Struthio camelus: one gene and its partners. The protein of the gene in region 1 interacts with the protein of each later gene in a biochemical or structural test. Links are inferred from orthologs where the notes say so. Each region holds a gene or a part of one and is shown in the gene's direction. Other genes may lie near its edges. The genes, in order: TNKS, RNF146 and AXIN1.

Evidence for each region.
Region 2: the proteins of TNKS (region 1) and RNF146 form a complex in vitro, tested with the Homo sapiens proteins (3 studies listed by BioGRID and IntAct, with this or other methods). The link is inferred for Struthio camelus from reciprocal best matches to the Homo sapiens genes TNKS and RNF146.
Region 3: the proteins of TNKS (region 1) and AXIN1 form a complex in vitro, tested with the Homo sapiens proteins (2 studies listed by BioGRID). The link is inferred for Struthio camelus from reciprocal best matches to the Homo sapiens genes TNKS and AXIN1.

Annotation. Positions count from the first base shown.
Region 1 is NC_090945.1:3,094,101-3,101,541, forward strand, and holds the start of TNKS (poly [ADP-ribose] polymerase tankyrase-1), read left to right. Parts: upstream 1-4,354; 5' UTR 4,355-4,388; coding exon 4,389-4,896; intron 4,897-7,441. Other genes in the region: MFHAS1 (malignant fibrous histiocytoma-amplified sequence 1), read right to left, coding at 1-2,766.
Region 2 is NC_090944.1:69,253,544-69,261,201, forward strand, and holds the start of RNF146 (E3 ubiquitin-protein ligase RNF146), read left to right. Parts: upstream 1-4,293; 5' UTR 4,294-4,461; intron 4,462-4,884; exon of another isoform or gene 4,885-5,086; intron 5,087-7,658. UniProt on the Homo sapiens protein: E3 ubiquitin-protein ligase that specifically binds poly-ADP-ribosylated (PARsylated) proteins and mediates their ubiquitination and subsequent degradation. May regulate many important biological processes, such as cell survival and DNA damage response.
Region 3 is NC_090956.1:19,077,348-19,085,093, reverse strand, and holds the start of AXIN1 (axin-1), read left to right. Parts: upstream 1-4,598; 5' UTR 4,599-4,684; intron 4,685-6,972; exon of another isoform or gene 6,973-6,975; 5' UTR 6,976-7,066; coding exon 7,067-7,746. UniProt on the Homo sapiens protein: Component of the beta-catenin destruction complex required for regulating CTNNB1 levels through phosphorylation and ubiquitination, and modulating Wnt-signaling.

The DNA of each region.
Region 1 (7,441 bases):
GGGCACCTCGTTCTTCACATAGCAAGGGAACTTGTACCAGGCAGCCGCCCCGTTCAGGGGTTTGCATTTGGGCTTGTTGACACAGTAGCAGAGGCCCATCTTCTCCAGCAGCTCCAGAATGAGCTGCAGGTCTTCCCGGCTCTGGATGTGGGGCTTGAGAAGCAGGCGGATAATGTGGGCAGGGAGGAGGCCATGCAACAAGAAGCCCTCCACATAGTGATGGAGCTGGGTGGCCCTCAGCTCATCGATGTGGGTGTCGCTGAGCAACTTCTGGAGCAGCACAGTGGCATCCCGCTGGCAGAAGACGTTGAGGATATCGATGAGCCGCGGCAGGTTGTGGAACACGTACTCCCGCAGTGTGAGGTGCTCCTCAAAGTAGAGCAGCTTCCCACTCTCGTGGAGGTAGGACAGGGCACTCTGGAGCCGATCCTCCGTCAGGCCCGCCTGCAAGCCCAGCCGGGCAGAGTCCCACCAGCTGAGCCACAGCTGCTGAGCCTGCGGCTGGAAATGCAGCTCCTCCAGCACTTGCCAGGATTTGGGCAACACTCGGTGCAGGTTTGGGAAGATGTCCCGGTGCTCGGCCACTGAGAGGAGTTTGTCCCGCAAGCGACGCACCTGGCAACGGTCCCGGCAGCTGAAGGGCAGCACCGGGGAGAGAATCTGTGGGCGGTGGTTCAGAAGATACTGAAACTGGGCTTTCTTCCGCCGCAAGTTCTTGTCCGAGACCCCGTAGAAGGTGGCGTGCGGGCTGGAGCAGCGCAGGTCAAAGTCCTGTCCCAGAGCCTCATCCACCTGCTGGACCAAGCTCTGGAGTCCCTCAGCATCCCGTTTCTCCTGCAGAGCAATCTGGTGATGGATGTCCAGGCACTTCTCCTCCAGCTCCCGCTCGGCGCAGAGGTCGGCATGGGTTCCCACCATGCACACCACAGCATGGGGCACCTTAGAACCAAGCCAGTGCAAGAAGTAGCCCACAGAGCGGTAGAAGTGCTGAGGGACGTAGGCACTCAAATTCACTACCAGCACATACAAGGCCCCGGGGGAGAGGAAGAAAGATTGGATCACATCGTAGCTCGGGTCCCCCGCTAGCTCATACACAATGAATGTCAGACCCCTCTCAGCATCCGCTGTCCAGTCCATCACCTCAATGCCCTTGCTGCCTCCTGGCAGTCCCGCTCCTGATGGCGCTTGGAAGGCGTCCGGTGGCAGTGATGGCGCCGGGCACAGTGTTTCCCCCTGCACTCTGCGAGAAGGCGCATGGGGGACATCCCGCCGCTCAACAGGGAGCTGCTCCAGCTGCTGCATGGCAGGTACCCGCGTTGAGGAGGTGTCCGGAGGCTGCGGGAAGGGGCAGCACCCAACCGGCACTCTACCAGCATCTCGCTGCTGACCAGGGTAGCCTCTGGGCTGGGCACTCCCTGACTCCGGACCTCCCGCGTCCTCCCTCTGCCTGTCCTCCTCCATGAGGCACCGTCTCAGCAAGGTCTTGCCCGCATCCTTCAGGCCCATGAGGACCAGCTTGAGGCGGGGCTTGAGGGCAGGCTGGGAGTTGGCCAGCTCCTGCTGGTAGGCCGCGATGTAAGGGATGCCCTTCATGCACACCTCATACGGGGGCTGGATGAGGGGGTTGTCCTTGATCTTCCACAGGGTGACGCGGGACAGTTGCCCAAAGCCCTCGGGCAGGATGGCGATCTGGTTGCCTTGCAGCACCAGCTCCTCCAGGCTGTGGAGGAGCACGATGGAGTCAGGCAGGTAGCGGATGCGGTTGTTGTCCAGCCAGAGGGTGCGGAGCTGGCGGAGCTGACAGAGGCCAGGGGGCAGCAGGGTGAGCTGGTTGCGGCTCAGGTAGAGCTCCTCCAGGCCGGGCAGGGCCAGCACGGCGGCAGGGAACTCCCCCAAAAGGTTGGAGGAGAGGTTCAGCATCTTGAGGCGCTGCAGGCTGCCAAAGCCGGCGGGCAGAGCCCGCAGCCGGTTGCCGTCCAGCATGAGGCTCTCGAGGGCACCCAGCTGGCAGAGGCCCTCGGGCAGGGTCGCCAGCCCGGTGCCGCTCAGCCAGAGGATCTTGAGATGGCGGAGGGCGGCGATGCCCTCGGGCAGAGCCCCGAGGTGGCGGTTGCCGGAGCAGTCGAGCTCCTCGAGGGCGGCCAGCTCCAGCAGCGGGGCAGGGAAGGCGGGCAGCAGGTTGTGGTCGACGTCGAGGGTGCGGAGGTGCCGCAGGCGGCCCAGCCCCTCGGGCAGGCGGCGCAGGCGGTTGAAGCTGAGGTCGAGCTCCTCGAGGCGGCCCAGCTCGGCCAGGCGCGGCGGCAGGCCGGGCCCCTCGGCGCCCAGCTCGTTGTGGCTGAGGCTGAGCTTGCGCAGGCCCCGCAGCCCCGCCAGCGCCGCGCCGTCGCCCAGGCCCCGCAGCCGGTTGTGGCTGAGGTCCAGCTCGGCCAGGCGGCCCAGGTGGCGCAGGGCGGCGGCGGGCAGGCGGCGCAGCCGGTTGCGCCGCAGGCTCAGCGCCCGCAGCCCGCCCAGGGCGGCGCCCACCTCCTCGGGCAGCTCCTCCAGCCCGCGCCCGCTCAGGTTCAGCGCCTCCAGCTCGCCCAGCGCTGCCGCCGCCGCGGCGGGAGGGGGGCGGGCGGCGGGAGGAGGCGGCGGCCCCCCCGGCGGCCCCGCGTCCGGCTCGGGCTCGGGCTCGCCGCCGCCGCCGCCGCGCAGCTTCCGCGCGAGCAGGGCGGCGGCACCGCCGCGCCACGGCCGCGCCGCCTCCGCCGGCTCCGTCTGCGCCATGGCCGCGCCGCGCCCTGCCCTACCTGCCGCCGCCGCTCGCCATGGGCGCGGCGCCGCCGCCGCCGCCGCGGCGGGCTGCGGGCTCCCGCCGCGCCGCTGCCGGCCGCGCACGTAGCCGCCGCCGCCGGGGGCGGGGCCCCGCCGCGCTCTCGCTCCGCCCCTCTCCCGCCCTCGCCCCGCCTCCTTCTCGCCCCGCCTCCTTCTCGCCCCGCCCCCTTCTCGCCCCGCCCACCCCGCCCCCTTCTCGCCCCGCCCACCCCGCCCCCTTCTCGCCCCGCCCCCTCCCGGCCCCGCTTTCTCCGGGCCGGGCTTGTGCTTGAGCGACGGGTCGGTGCTGGTGCAAGCGGTGCCGGAGCCCGAAAACGTTCGGGGATCACCCCAGACCCTTCCCCTCGTTCTCAGCAGCTGAAGCGAAGGCTGTCAAACGGCCAAGAGTGCGTGGCATTGGGGCAGGGGGGGAAAAAGGAGGGAAGAAACGGATCCCATTGCTGCGGATTGCGTTATACACCCAGAATTGCGCTCGGAGTTACTAATTTTAGATGATGGCCCTGCAAAGGCCTGTTGACGGGGTTTTTAATTATTCATCTGAAGCCTGAGGTTCCCTCGCTTTACTGAGCCAGGCAGCTGCATTAGTAATAAGATTTCTATCTGCAGCGCAGCCCTCCGGGGGCCGGAGAAAGACCTCGAGTTACCAAAGGTGGTGTAAAGCCCGATTCTGGGCTTTGCTTGCTGAAAGCCCCCGCCCGCTATTCCCGTACCACTTCAGACCTGCTCGTTACTCAGAGGACCTCCCAGGCCCTAACGAGCCCAGAGCTCATGAGGTCTTTGCCAAGTACTCACTCTCCAGGCCGCTAGTTGGTTTCTCTTTGGAAGGCGGCTTTGGGGTAGGGGACGAGGAGGACTGACTCGTTCTGCTCAAAATCTCAGACCAAACGTCTTTTCGACAGCAATGCTGGATTCCCGCCCTGCTGCCCAGGTGGGAATGTGTCAGGCTGGATCCTCCAGCCCTTGGCGGGGGGGGAGCATGCAAGGCGCAGGCATGCCAGGGCTGAGGGTGAACGTGCAAGGGGTCAAGGCTGGGGGTGAGTGTGCAAGGAGTCAAGGCCTGGATGAGTGTGCGAGGCGCAGGCATGCCAGGACTGGAGGTGAATGTGCAAGGGGTCAAGGCTGGGGGTGCGCAAGGAAGCAGGTGGGCCAGGGCTGGGGGTGAGTGTGCAAGGGTCAAGGCCTGGATGAGCGTGCAAGAAGTCAAGGTTGGGGGTGAGTGTGCGAAGAGGCAGGTGGGCCAGGGCTGGGCAATGTGCGAGGGCCGCGCGTGCAGCGGGGGGGGGAGGGGGGCGCGCGCAGCCAGGCACCCCCCCCCCCTTCGCCCCCCGGCGGCGCGTGCCGGCAGCCGCGCGCCCCGAGCTGCTCGGAAGGCGGGCGCTAGCCGCGGCCCCGGCAGGGGGTGGAGCCCGCGAAAGCCCCGCCCCGCCCCAGCACCCCTGTCGTCACGTCCGGGCGCCGCCCGCGGGGATTGGCTGGGGGGGGGGGCGGAAGCGTGGGCGGGCGTTGCCGCCGTTGCCGCAGTGACGAGGGCTGAGAGGGAGGCGGGGAGGGGGGCGGTAGAGGAAGGGCGAAAAATGGCGGCGCCGCGTCGCTCCCAGCACCACCATCACCACCACCACCTGCCGCCGCCGCCTGGGCCGGCCTCGCCGCCGGCCGCCGCCGCCTCGCCGCCGCGCAGCCCTAGCTTGGCGCCCGCCGAGCTCGCCCCCGCCGCGCAGCGGCACAGCCTGGCCGGCCCTGAGGGCGAGGCGCCCTCCGAGGCCGAGCGGCCTCCAGCCCCGGAGAGCGCGGAGGGCGCGGGCGCCGCCGCCGCCCCGGGCCCGCCGCCGGGCTCGGCCAGCAGCTCCGGCAGCTCGTCGTCGTCCTCCTCCTCCTCGTCGGCGTCGTCGTCGGCCGCGTCGAGCCCGGCGGTGGAGAGCCCCGAGGCGGCGGGCCTGGGGGCGGCGAGTGGCGCCTTCCGCGAGCTGCTGGAGGCCTGCCGCAATGGGGACGTGACGCGCGTGAAGCGCCTGGTGGACACGGGCAACGTGAACGCCAAAGACATGGCGGGCCGCAAGTCCACGCCGCTCCACTTCGCTGCCGGTGAGTGCCGGGGCCGCTGGGCGAGGCGAGGGCGCCGGGGTCGGCCCGGCCTCCCGTTCCCGGCGGAGCAGGGAGAGCCGGTGCCTCGGCGTCCTGCACCGGCGCCTCCCGCGGCCCCTCTCGCACCCACCTGCTGGGTGGGCGCAGCAGGGAGCGCATCTCCAGCGTCCCGGGGGGTCGCGGGGGCGCAAGCTCGTTCCTGGGAGAGGAGGAGCGCGAGGGCGCTTTTCCTGGTGCCGTTTCACTAATGCTGGGTGCGGGAGTAGATGGCTGTTAAACCCCTCTCTCTCCTTCTCCCCCGTCCCCAAAACGGGCAGAGGATCATCCCTTTGGGTGAGAAGAGGGGGAAAGGAGAGCCTGTGGGGGCATGAGGGAAGCCGTATAATCTAAAAGTACTAAAATAACTCCCTGTATTGGCCCCACAAGTTGCTGACTTCAGCATGTGGGCTTAGCAAGTGAGCAACTGATGTCACTATGTTTCTGGAACTCAGGGCAGAGTTGGTTTGGATTTAAGGTTTTCACTTGTATTGCAGTAGCTCTTGAAAGTCAAGGAACCCTGTGATGCAGGTAGGCTTACTAGGAATCAAAGTCAATGCATTTTTGTGTTTTGACTGGTGTGTGTGTGTGTGTGTTTTTTGGTTTTGCTTTTTTTCCTGTTATCTCAGTGTAGCTACGGATTGATCTCTGCCTCTGTTGTGGTTTGAGCGGGCTGGGGAAAGAGGTGAAGTGGAACAGCTGAACTCAGTGGGAGGTTACAGCTGTGTCCAGGAGACAATATGCCTCTCAGTGTGGGGAAGAGATGATATTGTGACCAGAAATAGTCACTGTCATAAAATAAGTCAAAAGTGAGATTCAGTGACTGACCTCAATTGCAAATGAACATTGTCTCCTACCAAGCATAGCTACTACCCCTTAGTATAGTCTATAAAGAGAGCGTTTTGTGGGGGGCTGGCCATGGCTAGAGGCACAGGGGGAGTGAAGCCCGTGATAACAGTAAAATGGGGAAAATAGTTGAAGTCAGGACTTGCACGGTTGCTAGGTCCGTGGTCAGATTGAAGTCTTTCTGACAAATGCCACAATGATACAGATTGCCTTGATACCATCCAGCGGGGCACGGATCTTGTCTGAGCTTGTAAGTAGGCCAGTGGCTATGGGATGCCCTGACCTACTCCTGCTGATGTGCCATGCTTACTGGCCTGCTCCTGGCTGACAGAGTGGTTGCTATTTTAATTTTCCTGACTTGGCACCACAAGCTGGAGCTCTTTAATATTGACAGTAGAGTTCTGGATCCCGTTCTACAACTCGGAACATGCTCCAGTAACCCTTGTCAGATAAGCAGCACAATAGCCAATATGAAAGAGAAACAGAAGTTGCTGAAGCCTTTACTCAGGCTTTATTCTATGTTCAATATTTGAATGCTGGTGTATGGCTCTAAAGCACCACATGGAAATCAGTTACAAAAATAAGCATTTATCTGACACAGCGTTGCTTGGGACTCCAGGTAGTGCTGTTCAGTTTATCTCTGTGTTTGTGTAGGTCTGTTGTCATTTCCAAAGTCAAAGTGGCATCTCGTGGTGGCTCTATGGGAAGTACTGGTCTTGAGCCATTTGCATCTCCTCTAATCCCTGAGCTCTACCAATAAATACTGAAATGTGCAGGCCTACTTAATTTCAGTGAGCCCTGGGAGGTGATGCTGGCACAACTGCATGCATGTGCACAAAGTGCTTAATGTTTTGGAGGCCTCATCTCACATCAGCTCACTTTGGATTCCAGCTTAAAATTAGACCCCGCTTCTTACCCTTAAGTGCTAAAATTTCAAGTTATAACTTCAGTGGTAGACTAGTACAAACTGTAGTGCTGGTCCTGTAGTGGTACAATATTAATTTCACTTAAAACCTGAACTTTGGTTAGAGAAGGAGCTGACAAAACCTAAGGCTTTGAAAGGCAAGAGTGTTGGTGCGATTTTACTGTAATAGCAATGGAAGATGCTTCCTTGTAGCATGAGGAACACAGCAGGTGAATTTCTTATACCTAATAAGACTGTTTGTTCTCTATTTTTGTAGATTTAAAGACTTTCCTTAGCTGCCAAGCGTATTCTCTCAGAAATTAATGAAGCATGTATCTGACTGAAATGAGTTTGACATCTAATAGCATTAGATAGATTTCTTATTAGAGAAAGACTGAGGTCCTAAATTTTGAAAAGGCCTGTAAACAAGTTTGAATGCAGCTGGTCTTAGGCAGTATGTAGTTGCAAGTGATGCAATACATTGATAGGATCTCCTTCCCCTTTGTGGACAAAAGGAGAAATAAAACCCCTTTGCTTACAAGCATAGGAGTCTGCTATGTGTATTAAGCAGTGTTATGTGTAATAGCACAATTTTATGAGTCATAGCTAACTTTACAAATTGTTTGGCCCCTCTTATAAGAGGAACAGGAGTTGAAGAATGCAGTGTGCCAATGTTTTAGAGTTTAACTGTTTCTCTCACGTCTCTTGAAGCTTCAACTTTTTTAAGGGAACAGCAGAGAGAGTTTCACTTCTGTTCTT
Region 2 (7,658 bases), on another chromosome or scaffold:
AACTTTCCAACAAGTGGTGGATGCTTTAAAGAGTTTCAGTAGAGAATTCCTCTTTTTAAATATCACCCTGAGCTACAGGCCTCACTAGTGTGCAATTTCCCAGGAAACATCAGTGCAGAACCACTCAGCAAGTTTTGCTATTGATTACAATAGGATCAGGGCTTGGAGTACAACAACTACTAGCTTTAATCGTCAGCTAGGAGTCTGATCAGTGCCCTAGCTGGATCAGGAGAGACAGCAGCACCTCTGTGCTCTACCAAAAGTGTTTTGATGAGCTTAGCTTCCCAGCAGTTACCATATACCATCTAGTGATACCAAAGGAAACCATAATTTGTAATTCATTAATCTTTAAATGAAACATATAGTAGGCATTTTGCATTCCTTTTACTAAAATAAAAGGTAGTCATATGTGCTATCTCCTATGACTAATATTTTCCATTTCTCAAGAATCTTGACATGTATTAGTTTTTGAAAGGATTCAGCTTCTGAAGATGTACGATTATATAAGAATATCAGCTTTAATTAAAGTTAAAACAAAGTTTCTGCCTTATAGCTAGAGAATTACATACAAAATTATAATCTTAGAGATGTAAAACTCAGGGACTAAATTTAAAGAAACCCAAAACCTAACCTTACTATTTTTTAAAACTTCAAGATTTTGAACATCCTGCATCATGTTTTTTTTAAATATTAAGTTAATAGTGTCTGTTGATGGGGAGGAAGTCAGAGAGAGAGAGAGAGAGAGAGAGAGAGAGAGAGATGATTCTGACAGCTGGGATAACGGCAGAAGACAATGTTATGCTATGTGGAATTTTGCTGCCACTAAATGAAAGCAAAACCATCAAGATTTTTTCCTGGGAATTTGCAGACAGAAAGGGTACTGATCCAATGAAAGCCACAGACCAAAAGAACTGAGGAACACAATTCACCCTCACCTCTTCTCTTTTCCCAGTTCTCCTCCTCAGCACTATTCAACTTTCTATTTGTAAAGCCAAATGGGATTTTCAGCACAGACCTAAACAGCACAGACCTCCGAAAACTGTTACACAGAAGTGTATTTGGCACTGGTTGCTACATATCTAGGTTATGTAAGCAAAATACAGACATTACATGAAGTACACTAGTTGGATTTTCATAGGCCGATTGTCGCCTTAACACTTTGTTTTCAACCTACAAATAGTGACTAGAAATCAGTTTAGCTACAACTCAGCAAGACTGTAAGTGTAGATGGATGAGGCAGACATGAATTTGCATAGTTTCAGTCAAAGTGAAAAACTACTTGTAAACCCAAGACTATACTTTGGACTCGTGTTGATCAACCTACAAGTCTGCCAGGCCCTTTTGCACATCACCAGAACTGCAATTGCAATTCAAAGCAAATGTAATTTTGTCTCACTGATAGCATCTTGGGCACTGCTTTTACACCATTTGCCAGTGAATGCTCTAGAGGGCCAGGACTGTCAGGTGCCAGGGCGAGCAAATGACAGCGATAGTCTAATATTGGCTTCACACAAGAGAATTCTCTGCCTAGCTGAACTGGCTGTGGGCCACTTTGTACTGTAAGCATGCTTAAAACTTGTAGGACAAGGGACAAGCTTGTGTCACTGGCTGTAAAAACTAAATATATAATTAAAAAATATTCTAGAAATTGTCCATGTATTAGTCAATCTTCAATGCCACGAAAAATAAAAAAAAAAAAATCACCTTAATGAAAATGCTAATGTAACATGGGGATTCCGTGTTAGGCAATAGCTTAGAGGAAAGGAAAGCACCGAGTGATAAGCAATAGCAGTTCATAAAGCAAATACGTTATTTAAACAAGACCAGGATTCGCTTTTAATGTAATGACAGATTCGGAGCTCAGTCTTCTACCCCTCCGCTGGCTGCTAGCGCAAAACAGCCAAAAGTACGTTTGGACCTCAGTGGCACATTGCCAACTTTACATCTTTCTCTGTTCAGCACAGAGGGTGCGTTGAAGGTGCAGAAATGCGGAATGGGGGGAATGACACCACACATCATACGCTCCTTCACTGCTAGTGCAACTTGGAGCAGTTCTGAGGTTCTCCTCACTAACTCCCAAATCACAGCAGAAGGAAACTGTTTTCTCCTGTCTCTCCTAAACTGTGGAAGTGCAGTGAGGATTGAGACCTTAGTGACTATAACACATTGTCATATCAGCAATTCTATACAGTATCACATACTTTTGAAGAAGCTGGAAAAATACTGGATAAATAGAGACACTGAAACACTGAAATATGGATCAACAGTTGTCCATTGTCAAAGTATCTTCAAAAAATTAGTGGTGGAACCTTAGAAATTTAACAGGGGAAGTGGTGTCTTTTAAGGATTAGTCTGCTCAGCCTTTACTTTTCCATCCACTGTACTCATAAATAATTTAGTGGCAAGCACCAGACATCAATTCCAGATTGATTACATTGTAGATAACGGCAAAAAAAAAAAAAAAAAAAAAAGAGAGAGTGCAGAACTGCAAAGCAAGCAGAAGCAGACAGATATAGCTGAGGTGGTTTCAGTTATAACAGACAGGTATAAACTAATACATGGTTGGAAAAACATCTTTGGAATACATGGGATGTTTTCATGCCAAAAGCAGTAGTACAGAAAAAGACGGGCAAAAAATACATATTCTGACTGAAATAGAAGTCAATAATAGCAATTGATAATAGCGCAGGTAAAATTTTAGGAGGGATAATCTTAACAGATCTTAAGCAGATCATTTTTGATCCCCTTATTCCAATCTATTCAACTAGGTACTTTTGTTTATCTCTTTAGGCCAGCAGCATGTAATGCACTTAACTCTTTGGTTACTGCCTTTGGCACAACGTGATATTTACTTTAACTACTATGCTTGCTCCATAATTCATGCAGCATAAAGTAAAATTTTGCATTCATTAGTGCACTTTCTCAAATTGACCTGCAGCTGCAGTAAGCTGTCATGAACCTATCAAAACGCACCTATGGATTTTCTTTTTTAAAAGTACAGTTTTCCGAGATGCTTCTTCTCTTATGAACCTGAATGCAATGAGAGTAGCTTTGCTTCAACTCTTTAGATCCCTTAAGAATCCAGACTTACTTTCCTTTTTTAGGTCAGATTCCAATTGAAACCAATGGGAATTTGACCTCAGTAACTTCAACAGGATCAAGGTCTGGCTAGTCAAAGGATTAAGCCTATTGTTGCTGAACAAACTCACTGCCAAAAGGTTTTATTTTCTTTTTTTTTAAACCTCTATTATTTGACTCAGCCTCACAAGGTCCTCCTTAAATAGCAGTACAGGTTGCCACATAAACGTGTCCTTGAATACAATTATGTCACTTCTGTTAAATGCAGTGCTAATTATAGACTCCTAAGAGTTTGGTGGTTTAAAAAATACACTTTTTTTTAGTATTCCAGATTAAATTTAGAATTTAATACTCTTAGATTTTTGATCTTTGTTATGTTCTCTGGTGTCTGTGACTTCTGGGAGTTGAAGTATCATCCAAAACCGCAGCCAAACACCACTTCCAGGTGTTCTACCAAGCTCTGACTACCTAAGTTCCCGCATTTTGTCAGTTCTGCCTCCGCGCGCAGCGACTGCTTTGACACACAGCCCCTGATCCCCTCAAAACGAATACCGTTCCAACTTAAAGGACGTGTGGATTATCTCCTCTCACCAAGGTTCAGTTGCTTGCTGCGGGCAACAATTCCTGAGGGATTATTTTTGCAGGCCAGCCCCTCGCACTTAGGCCCGGGCCAGGCCACAGAGGAGCACCCACCCGCGTCTAGCAGGTCCCGTGCTACCTGCCGCAGACCCTCGCCGCAGAGCAGCCGGCCCACGGCCCAGGGCGCTGCCTGCGGCGCAAATCCTGGGCCACTCGAGGCTGTGACTCGGCCACGCTGCCCGACCCCTGGTATTTCTGGGCAAACGAGCCGCACGGGCCGAGCTCACGGCCCGGGGAAGGCCAGCCGGCCCCTGCCCCGTCGGCTCCTTGGCCTCCCCGGCGAGCACAGCGCCCGCTCAGAGGGGCCTTCGGGTCCCACAACCCTGCACCAGCCCCTCCGCTCCCGCGTCTCCCCCGCTGCCGCGCCCCAGCCGCGACCCTCGGGCCTGCCGAGCGCACCGGGCCCGCACCTGCCCCGCCGGGCCCACCGGGCGCGGCCCCTGCCCAGGCCGGGGGCGGCGCGGCCGCCGCTGCCATGGCACCGCCGCGGGGGCGGGGCGGCGCCACGGCGTGGCGTCACGGGAGCGCGCCGCGCGTCCCCCCCCCCCCGCCTCACCGGGGCGCGCGGCGCGGCCCCTCCCCCCGCGGCGTCACAGTGGCGCGTTCGGCGCTTCCCTCTCTCCCCCCCCCCCCCGCGCGTGACGTCGGCGCGTCCCGCTCGCCCGGCGGCGGGGGCCGGAGGAGGCGGCAGGTGACGGCGGCGGCGCCTGGGAGCGGGCTGAGCGGCGCGAGCCGGCCCGGCGGGTGAGTCCGTGGCGGCGCCGCCGCGTTCCGACGCCAACGGCCGCGAGCGCGGAGGGAGGGGGAGCAACGGTCGCTCCGCCAGCCCCCCTCGCCCCGCGGCCGACCGCCCGGGGCGGGGGGCGGCGCTGCTCCCTCCTCCGCCGGCGGCTCTCCCCGCTCCGGCGAGGGAAAGGGCGGGCGGGGGGCGGACGTCGCGGCCTGCCCGCTTCCGTCGGCGGGCGGGCGCCGCCGCTGGACAAAAGGCCCGAGAGCGCGGCGGCGGCGCGGGGCCGGGGAGGGGGGGACCCGGCGGCGCTGAGGAGCCGGCCCCGCCCGCGGGGGAGGGGCGGCGGGCACGCCCGGGCCCGGGCCTGTGTTATTGTTTGGGCGAGAGCAGGAGCAGCGTCCGCCGCCTGCCCCCGCCCGCCGCCGGCGCGTCACGTGAGGGGTGTTTTGGGCCGCGGTGGCGCAGGGTGTCCAGAGCGGCCTCGTCCGCCCTGCCCGAGCCGGGCCTTGCGGCGGCGGCGGCGGCCGGCCGGGACACCGCGCGGATCCGCCTCCGCGCGGCAGACGGCGGCGCGCTGCGAGGAGCCGGGAGGTGGCCCCGCTGGGCGCCGCCGGGCTCGCCCCACCTGCTGCCCGTGCTGTAAGTCCCCGCCGTGTCCCCTAAGCCGCCGCTTCGCCGGGCTCTGGCGGCGAGCGGGGGGCCTCGTCCGGCGGACGCTTTTTGGCCTTAACTTTGCCCTCAGGGAGATGACAGTCTTAAATCTGTGTAAAATGAAGTGCTTGATGTGTGCAGCATCAGGGCCTCAATTCCCGGGTTTCATTTTGTTCAGTAACAAAATAGGTCAGGAACGCGCGCTCTAACTTTACGTGTTGCAGAATCCCTCGACCAGAAGAGCCATGTGTGGTGTTTTAAATAAATCTGTGGCATGTGTTCTCACTCTTCTTGCAAAATGTCTTTGCTCTAGCCGGGTTACTTTCATTACCGTAATGAGCTTTGTGAAACTAGAATAGAAATCATATGAATATTCTTAGGAGTACAGTAGGAAGCACATAAAAAGAGGTATGCAGTGGTTTTTAATGGAAGTGCTTTTGTTTCTTTGTGCTTGATGGTCTGGGCTCTCGTATTTGATTGCATCCTTTTAGAGTGTTTAAATGGGACATGAAAATAGGTCCAGCTCTTGCTGCAATACATATTGCCACCACTGAAGAATTATTACAAAATATTTTGTAAATAAGAGTTTTCATACAAACAGAGTAGCAGTGCGCATCAGAATGGTCGAAAACGTGGAATTTCACAATTAAAATAAAACCCGATAAAAGTTTGTGCGTGTGTGTCTCAGGATAACCCTTGTGTTATATGGACTAGAAATACTGTAGGATTTGTTATTGGTATTTGTAGTATGCAAGTATACATAGAAGAATTACAAGCAGGAGTAGGGAGTAGAGCTTTAAACTGTCTTGATCGTCAGATTTGTAATACTAAAAATACAGTCCTTCTGCATTGTTAGCTGCTCCCTGTGTTCTCAGTGGACTAACTAATTGTGTTTTTAGAGACACTTTCAGGACTAGTTTTATCAAAAACGAACTGTTGTAATAGTATTGAGTATGTAGTGAAGTCTGAATTTTGATTCAGTTGTTTCGAGTAATCTTAAATACTGAACTTTTGCAGAAACTTGCTTTATTGTCTTGTATGGTTAATATTGTGGTTCCTTTCCAGCTGAATTAAAGCACCAGTTTAAATTGCTGTAATGCAGAATTTGTGCTAAGTGAAAGAAAAAGTTGTGTTCTTTTTGTTTCCCTAAAAATATTCTGCATCAATTTAGATGTAATTGAATTGTCATTTACTTAGAGAGATGGAACTGCAGTATTTTTAAAGACTATTAAACAATGAACTCCTGTAATTGGTGGGGAAAACGTCTTTTTATTAGAATTGATTTCTGCCCCCCCCCCGCATGTTAATTGAGTCTAAAGCTGTTCTTGTACTTGCCTTCTGTTCCTGAAGCATCGATCAATTGAGACAAACCTATTTCTGCTTGGTTTTCATACAGGAATTTTGATACAATATCATTTTATTTCTGAGTGGAATCTATTAGATATATTGAAATATAATATATGATCAAAATTCAGAATCAGTGTTCCCGTTGCAGCATAGCAGGAGGAATTCATTTGGAATAAATACATGGCAATTTCATACCAAAACAGTTGACTGTTCTGCACTTTGATTTTTTTTTTTTTGTGATTCAGTTCCAAATGCGTATATAAGGTTTTTAATTAGCAGATCACAGGCTCCTTAAAATCTCATCTCATCAGTAATTCCTGAAGATTTTCTTTGACTAAGTTTCCGCAGATACAAAAAAGTGACTGGCCATGAATAGGAAACAGTGAGGTGGTTTATCTGTTGTGCTATCAAATGCCCAGTGACAGATAAAAAAAAAAAAAAATCTGATAGGCTCAGGAGCTTGAGCTGATAGTATATCGACAGTAACAGATTTTCAGATAGGAGGATGATTTCCCTTTTAGAAAACAACCATGTTTTTTCTTTCCTTCCACAGTATTTGTGTGGCTTGTGGTGACTTGTAAGGAGGAGGGCAGTATTCTGTGATATTCTTCCCCTGCTGTGCCCCCTGCCCCCTTGACATGTGAGTTAGGGAGCTTGCTGAAAATTTGAAGTGGTTATTTGCAGCAGCTTCTTTACTTTTCTGAAATAATGGTGCCGCTATTGAGTTTTCAAACTATGGGGAAAAGCGATGAATTTGTGATAACTACTGCAGAATCATCTGTACGATGTTGCTGATTTTATGAAGTCGTCTATCATTTGCTATAGGATTTAAATAACTGTCTTTGGCAAGCAAGAAGCTAGTTTTGTTTCACTTTACCAATATGTGCATTTTGGGTTTTTTAGAGGAGAAGGGGCTAGCTTATTTAAATAGAGCTAAGCTTTTATTTACAGAGAAAGTTTCTTGCTCTTTTTTAGGTCTGTAGATAACATTACATTTTCATTTAGAAGTTTGCTTCTTAAATATGAAAGTTTCCGGTTTTTATTGTTGTTTTTTCCTGTCACTCTAGTTTCCAAAGTAATAGAAAAGAGAAAAAAATGTCTTGGGTCTGCTTGTTTACTGAAAATCTGATGGGTGACTGAACTGGCAAGCAGTGGTTTCATGCCATCTTGGCCTAGTAAAAGCATGACTTTTTCCTATCACCTCAAAATGATT
Region 3 (7,746 bases), on another chromosome or scaffold:
CACCCGCTGTTTACAGGGGTACGAGACTCCTCACAGTGAAGGGAAATCGCTGGCTGTTGGGCTTTGGAGTGCAACTGATTCCTGCTTGTCACGGCGTAGCGCATGCAGAAAGCAGCCTGCAGGCTTTCTTCCAAAGAAACAGCTGCAAAGGCTGTAGCAAGAGCTCTGGTGCAATGGAAGAGCGCGTCTGAGCACGCAGCACTGATTGTATGTGATGGAGAGGAAAGCGCTGCATCTGCTGTCTGCATCCAAAACTGGGGCCTTCATCAGAACAGGGCAGAGCTGGCTGCGGTTTCTAGGGACATGAGGACTGAGAGTGTGTAGCAGTCCTGAACGGGACCTGGTGGCAAAAGGTTTGGTAGCAAGTGTGAAAGTTGTTCTTGCCCAGCAACAAGCCTTCCACATGGCCATAACCTCCAGGGCTCTGCCTGCCCCTTCTTCTGTGAAGTGTGAGTAAAACCTCGTGCCTGCCCTGCAGCTGCAGTCAGTGCCTCAGAGAAGTACACTGGAGGAGTCAGCAAGCCATCCCCAGCAGGGATGGTAGAAGTCCCCAGATAGGGGGGAAACGTGGCTGGGAGGTGACTGGTGCAGAGCACATTCCTGCCAGATGGTGCTGTGGGGGTCACTGGCCATCCCCGTGCCATCCTCTGGCAGTAAATCAGCATCTGAGGATAAGGATAGTCAGAAAACAGGTACCTCACCTCCACCCCACGCAGCCCAGCCACGTGTCCTGTAGGTCGCATGGATGCAGCACCCGGCCGGCTCCAATGCCACTCCCCCTCTGGGGCTTGAACTGTCAGCCTCTGGCCAACAAAGTCCTGCCAGCATTTCTCTTGCTCCTCCCAGGTCCAGCCAGGCCCCGAGGAGCAGTAAGCAGTGGAGGCTACTGGGAGGGATGCCAGGAGCTCCAGGGCACGCGAGGGCCCAGCGTGCATGCTGAGTCCAGGTACCTCAGCCACGTGCACCCTGCTCTACCCAACCTTGTCACCCCCCGCTCGCCACTCTCTGCCCTCCTACCCCTTGCCTTTGGGAGTCTCTCCCAGTGACTTGCATGGAGAAACCTGGATTTGATTTCTCACGTGAACTCAGCTCTGGCCAGGAATTCTTGCTGGGCCTTTCTCCGAGAGACGAAAAGCCCTCTAATACCTGATAGTCTCTCACCCATGAAGCTGCTTCAGCACTGTAATCGGGGCACCTCTTAGGCTCCTTTGAACTAGCTAAAGAGGCTGCATTTCTCAGGCATCTCAGTGCAAAATGTTTTCTCTAGAGACTGGGATCCTGTCTAACTCTTCTCTGCCTGTGCTCTAATTTTTCAGCATCCTTTCTCAAACGCAGACACTGGAACAGGGCGAGTTTTGGGTTCCCATCTTACCAGTGTCCTAGACACCTAACACCATCCTGCTCCTCACCACTCCCCCACTTCTACATCCCAGGCTGGCTTGACCCCTTCTGCTGTAGCATCAACCCCCCATCTCGGTCAGGACTTCCCAAGGGGCGGCTACCCCGGCTCCTACACTTTCATCCGGTGCACAGATGTCTCTGAAACTCTTTTCTGAATCGTTCCTTTCCAAAGTGCAGTTTTCCGTTAGAAGCAGCAGCCTGCATTCTGTGCTCCTAAGAGGTATCATTTTGCATCTGTCCACATTCAAGCACACTTTATTTGCCTGCACTCAGCTCATGAAGTTTTCTACAGCTGGCTTGACCTCGTCGGTGTCTCCTGCCCCTCTCGTTTTCCTGGCTCCTGCATTTTTCTCAGCAGGGCTTTTTAATCTATTTCTAGACCATTGAGGAAAATGCTGAATAGCATTGGGCTTCACATCAAACTCTGCGGACACCCACTGAGAATGCTCCCATTCTGCAAGGATTCCCCATTGATGGCTGTCGGTTTGCCAGTTCCCAGTCCCTTTAAGGTGTCTCTCTTGATGTTGTATTGTGCTAATTTTTAATCAGAATACTATATGGATTAAGTCACATGCCTGAACAGAGTCCAGGTCTATTATTCCTGTGCCATAACCTTTATCAGCCGAACTTGTAATCTCTTCAAAGGATGACATCAGAGTTTGACAAGAGCTATTTTCCAGAAACTAGGCTGATTGCATTAATTATATTCCATCCTTTAATTCTTTACCAGCTGAATCCCACATCAGCTTTCCCATTATTATGCCTAGGTCAGTGTTGCACTGTTACATGTAAATCAGCTACTAGCATCATTCACATGAAAGAGCACAAGGAACGGCACCCTTCTGCCGGGCTCTCCTGCAGGGTAGGGAAGGGGAATACCCCCGGCTGCGGTACATTTTGGTGCGTTTCAGAACGCTGAAAAACACGTTGTACGTTCCAGAAAGCGTCCCCTGAAATGCATGAGCACCAAACACAAATGTGAGCAAGTGCTGAACGTACAGGTACACACAGCAGAATAATGCTGATTTTAATCAGCAGCTGATCCTTATCGGAAATCTTTTTGAGCCGCTTCTGGTTTCCAGAGGACTGTCTCGTGGCTTGTTTGCTTGTTTAGCTACCGGGATCACAGTGAGGGGTCTGCCTGACTCTGACTGTCTGTTCACTTTCCAGGGAAGAAACAGGCTTCGGATTTCCCTGTAGTAGGAGTTCCCTGAATTCTTGTTCAGTCTTTGCACGTGGTAGTCCCCTTCTTTTTCTTTTTGCAGCGTCACCCAGCCCTCCCACACATGAAAGCCTTACAGTCTAGGTGTTGGGGTATCCCTTCCAGCCAAGGGCTTTCTCTAATCAACCATTTCTGGGTAAGGCACCATCCCCTCCACCTTTTCTCAGGAAGAGTCTCCATGTTGTTTCACCTATTTCAGTCTATACAGTGCCACCTCTTGGTGAGTTCACTTATTTATGCTAGCTGCAGAATTGCGGGGTTCCTCAGAGAAACAGGAGACGCACGAGCAGTTTTGAAATCAGCTCTAGTTGTTTGGCCGGGCGAGAGCCACCCGCAGAGCAGTTATCTGCACTCCTCTATCCCTTGGCCCACAAACGCAGGTCTCTTCTAGGAAGACCTCAAATAAAAATTAACCATTAAATCCCACTGCCTAGCAGAAGAGGCCTAGGAGTAGTGTGGAGCCAGCCTTGAGGATCACTGCCCTTTCCTTTCCAAGATGAAGAGAGATCTTTTGTGGGATGTAGCTGCGCAGCAGAACAGCAGGTCTCTGAAACACGAGTCTCTCCTGGGCTGTGTTCTGGTCAGGATGCTTTAAAGAGCTCTCCTGGGCTTATTTTGTCCAGAAAAGCAGAAGAAAAAGGAGGTGTAATTCCATGCTCCTTTCCCACCTCCGGAGCTGCTCAGCCTTTGAGTAAGGCAGCAGTTCAGTTAGGTTCTCCTAGGCTTTCCCAAGGCAGCAGAGCCCATGGGCATGCCAGAGTCCCGGACCCCTCTCAGCTACCCACAGCGGGCAGAAGTTACGCACTGAGGCGTGCGTGATCCCCGAGGTCACCCTAGAGGCGCGGGCTGCTCTTGGTCTGGGATATCCAGAGGGCAAACCGCCCCACTGACCGTGTCAGCCTGTGTTCACGTGGGCCGTTCCCCAGCTGGGCCTTTGAGGTCTCCCACGCTTCCGCAGTCCCCGTCTCGCCCCCGAAGCAGCGTGGCCACAGGGCCTCAAGGAGCGCCGACCCTCGCGGCAGCTCAGCAGGGCTCACGAGGCCAAACCGCGGGGCCGCACCAGGCACGCCGGCCTCCCTTGTGCCAGCGTCCTTGTCCCCTTGAGCGCTGACGGGCGCCCAGATCACGTGCCCTCCTCTTACGGAAAGGTGCCGGGCGCTTCTCCTTGGATGCCTGCCGCTGGTCCCCGGAAACGACCGCGTGGTCGCTGCGGCTGGGTCTGCGGTGGCGGGGCCGGCGGGTCGCTAGGTCCCGCACCCGCCAGGCGACAGAAGGGACAGCAGGGCTCGGGGCCGGCGGGTCGCTAGGGCCTGGGCGACGGCGAGGCTCGGGGACGGCGGGCCACCAGGCCCCGCACGCGGCCCGGGCGACGGCGGGGACGGCGCGGCCGGTGCCCGGCGGGTGGCCAGGCCCCAGGCGCGCTCCGGGGAGGGAGCTCCGCGCCTCGCGTGCTGCCCGGTAGCGCGGTGGGCTGCGCGCCCGGGCGGCGGCCCCGCTCCCCCGCCGCGGCCGGCCCTGGCTCGGCCTCGCCGGGAGACGGCGGGCAGCAGCGCGGCCCTGTCACGGGCCCCCGCGGGGCCTGCGCCGGGGGCGGCCGCGGGCAGGCGGCGGGGCCGGGGCCGGGCGGCCTCGGGCGCGCTGCGGCCCCGGCGGCGGCGGCGGCGGCGGCGGCGGCGGCGGCGCCTCCCCCCGCGCCCGGCCGGGCCCGCCCCGCCCCCGCGCCCGCCCCCGCCTCCGCGGCCGGGCGGCGGAGCGCGGCGCGGGCTGGCGGCGCGGGCCCGGCCCGCAGTACCGGGCGGGGGCGCGGGGGGCGCGGCTGAGCCGCTCTCTCCCGGCGCTGCGAGGCAGCGGCGCAGGCGGAGCGGTGCGGGGCTCGCTGCTCTCCGTGTCGCCGCCAGAGCCAGCGGCCGCGGCCATGGGCGTCCCGGGCCGCCCGCTTTGTGCCGCCGCCGCCGCCCCGCCGCCGCCGCCGCCGCCGCCCGCCGCCCCGGGCCGCCGCCGCCGCTGCTGAGCCGCATGGGCCGGGCCCCGCGCTGCCGCCGCCGCCGCTGCTCCGTGCGGGTGAGTGAGCGGAGGGGAGGCGGCCCCGAGCCCAGGCCCTGCGCCGAGGCCGCGCCGGGAGGCCGCCGCCGAGCCGGCGCTAGGCCGCCAGGGCGCGGGGGGCGGGCGCTGCTGCCGGCGGCCGCGGGGCCGGGCCGGGCCGGGCCGCGCGGGGCGGGAGCGGGAGCGGGAGCGGCGGCGGGGGCGCGGGCCGCCCGGGCGGGCAGGCCGGCCCCGCCGCTCGCCTGCCCCGAAGTTGCCCGGCGGCGGCCGGTGCCGCGCTGCGGGGCGGGTTCGCACCGGGCCGCTCGGGGCAGAGCCCTGTCAGCCTCGGAGCTTGAATCCCGGCCCGCGGCGAGCGGCTCGCTGCCCACGGGCGGGCTGAGCCGCGCGCGAGCCGCCGGCAGCCCCCGAGCGGGGCAACTTGGGGCGGGGGCGGCGGGATCAAGGCGGCCGGGGGGCGCCGGCTCGCTCCTCCCCCCCCCCCGCCCGCCCGCCGCGCACGTCGGGGCCGAGCCGCGGGCCCGGCGGCTGCAACGCGAGAATCGCGCTGCGCCCCGGGGGCAGCGGCCGGGGCCCGGCGGCCGCCTCGTCCGCCGCGGCGGCCGCTCCCCGCCCGGCCCCGACGGGGGGGCGAGGGCCAGCGATGGAGCCGCCCTCGCAACACAATGACCAAAATGGCTCGTGCGCCCGTCCCCGAGCGGGGCTCTGCGGCCCTGGCGGCCGGGGCACCCTCCTGGGCGAGAGCGGCGCGACCGCGGCGCTCGCCGCCTCGGACCCCGGGCGAAGATCGCGGCGAAACGCGCCACGCAAAGCAGCCGCCCGGCTCGCCGGTGCCCGCCCGTCCGTCCCGCGCGCCTCGGGCCCGGGTGCGAGGAGCGGTGGCCGCTCTTGGCGCTGCCGCCCGTTTCCATGGGTCTGCTGGGTCCTGGGTGATTTTGCTGGGTTTCGGTGACGCGCCGGTTGGCTGTAAGGACAGCCCGCCGTGGCGGCTCGTAGGTGGTGTTTTTCAGCTCGGCCGAGGAGAGGAACCGGGGGAGACAAAAACGGCCACGCATCCAAAAGATGCGTTCATATGGGTGGGGTGAGCTCGGAGAGAGAGGCTGAGTTGAAGCGCGTCTTCCCTGCTATGTTTGCACGTGCGATTGAGTGAATGCAGTGCAAGGAGCAGTTTGGCAGGCAGCTGGAGCTTTGCAGTACGCGAGGGCTTCGAGGCTGACGGCGTTCTGCACAACAAAACTTCTGCTGCTGCCTTTAAATAATTAAGTGACTTTGCCTAGCCGCGAAAGTAGCTGTCCAGGGATCGTCCTCCTCTGCTTTTCCCTCCTTCCCCGCACCTTCCATCCTCCATCTTGACTTGTTACTCTTCTTTAAAAACGTCACGACTGATCAGGTTGCCTTCTTGAGATGCTTTTCCCATCTTCGTTTGATGACCTGAAGTTTTCCCAGGCTTACAGCACGCGATGTTTGTTAGCTTAAATGAACCCTTGCTACCTGGCCTCTCTCTGTGAAGCGCAGTGCCAGAACTGAAATCCTGTAGTAACATGCCCGTTACATGCAAGAATGTAGTTCAGATGCCCAAAATATTGGGGTCATTGGTGCGTTTGGATTCCCCTAGCACTAGATAAGACCGTGCAGCGCGCCTCTAAAAGGCAAGAATTTCGGGGGAATTTCACATTTCACATGTCACCTGATTGTATGGGCAGCCACCTGCGCTTGGCCAAGTTGTGGGCTCACTTTCAGTACTGATTGGATATTCTTTCAGAGTATTTTTCCCAGGCCTTAAACTCCTGCTTGGGGAATGAGGAAGTACTAAATCTGTAGGCAGATAAAAGCATATTACCTTGGTGTGACTTACTACATCTGCTAGTTAGACTTACTCTATTTAATCTGCAGGTAAAGTTAGTGTCCGGTTTAGGAGGCTGCATGTGTCCTTTTTCTGCGTGCGGGCTGTTTGCCAGTTGGTGCTCCAAGCGTAGATCTCTTGGAAACGGGGACTGCCAAATCCCGGAGTCCTGTAAAACCACCTGTATTTTGAAGTTGGCTGCTCTTAGTGTAGTACCGGCTGTATCATTTATCCTGAATGCTGGAACTAAAGTTTTGGAATGATCTTTAACAGTTATTTCTACAGGTAGGAAGGGAGTACCTGCTTTGGTCCCGATTTTGCTCTCTCTGAAATGGCTCAGAGCTTTGCCATTGGCTTTATTAAATCTTCTTTTTCAGCACAGTAGTGCAAAGCAAAATTAGTGGTCTGTAAGCTTAGAGTGTTTGTTTGCAGTAATACTTGATTTTTTTCTCATCTATTTCAGCAGAACAAAGGTGTTCACATTGGAGCTACAAACATTGGTGTTTTGAGATTTCAGCTCTTCTCCTACGGTTCCTGTGCGAGCAAGTGCCATAAAAATGAACGTCCAAGGGAAAGGCTTCCCTTTGGACCTCGGAGGAAGCTTCACTGAAGATGCTCCGAGGCCACCAGTTCCTGGTGAGGAAGGTGAACTCGTGTCCACAGATCCAAGGCCAATTAGCCATGGTTTCTACTCCAGTAAAAGTGATGTCGTTAGAAATGAGATGTCCACAGCAACACCAAGGCGCTCGGATTTGGATTTGGGGTATGAGCCAGAGGGGAGCGCTTCGCCAACTCCACCCTACTTGAAATGGGCCGAGTCGCTGCATTCCTTGCTGGATGATCAAGACGGTATCAATCTCTTCAGGACTTTCCTGAAACAGGAGGACTGTGCAGATCTGCTGGACTTCTGGTTTGCCTGCAGCGGCTTCAGGAAGCTGGAGCCCTGCATGTCTAACGAGGAAAAAAGACTCAAACTGGCAAAAGCCATTTACAAAAAATACATCCTCGACAACAATGGAATTGTGTCCCGGCAGATCAAACCAGCCACAAAAAGCTTCATAAAAGACTGTGTCATGAAACTACAGATTGACCCCGACATGTTTGACCAGGCCCAAACTGAGATTCAGTGCATGATAGAAGACAATACCTACCCTTTATTCCTTAAGTCGGATATTTATTTGGAATACACAAGGACAGGTGGGGAAAGTCCAAAAATTTATAGCGATCCGAGCTCAGG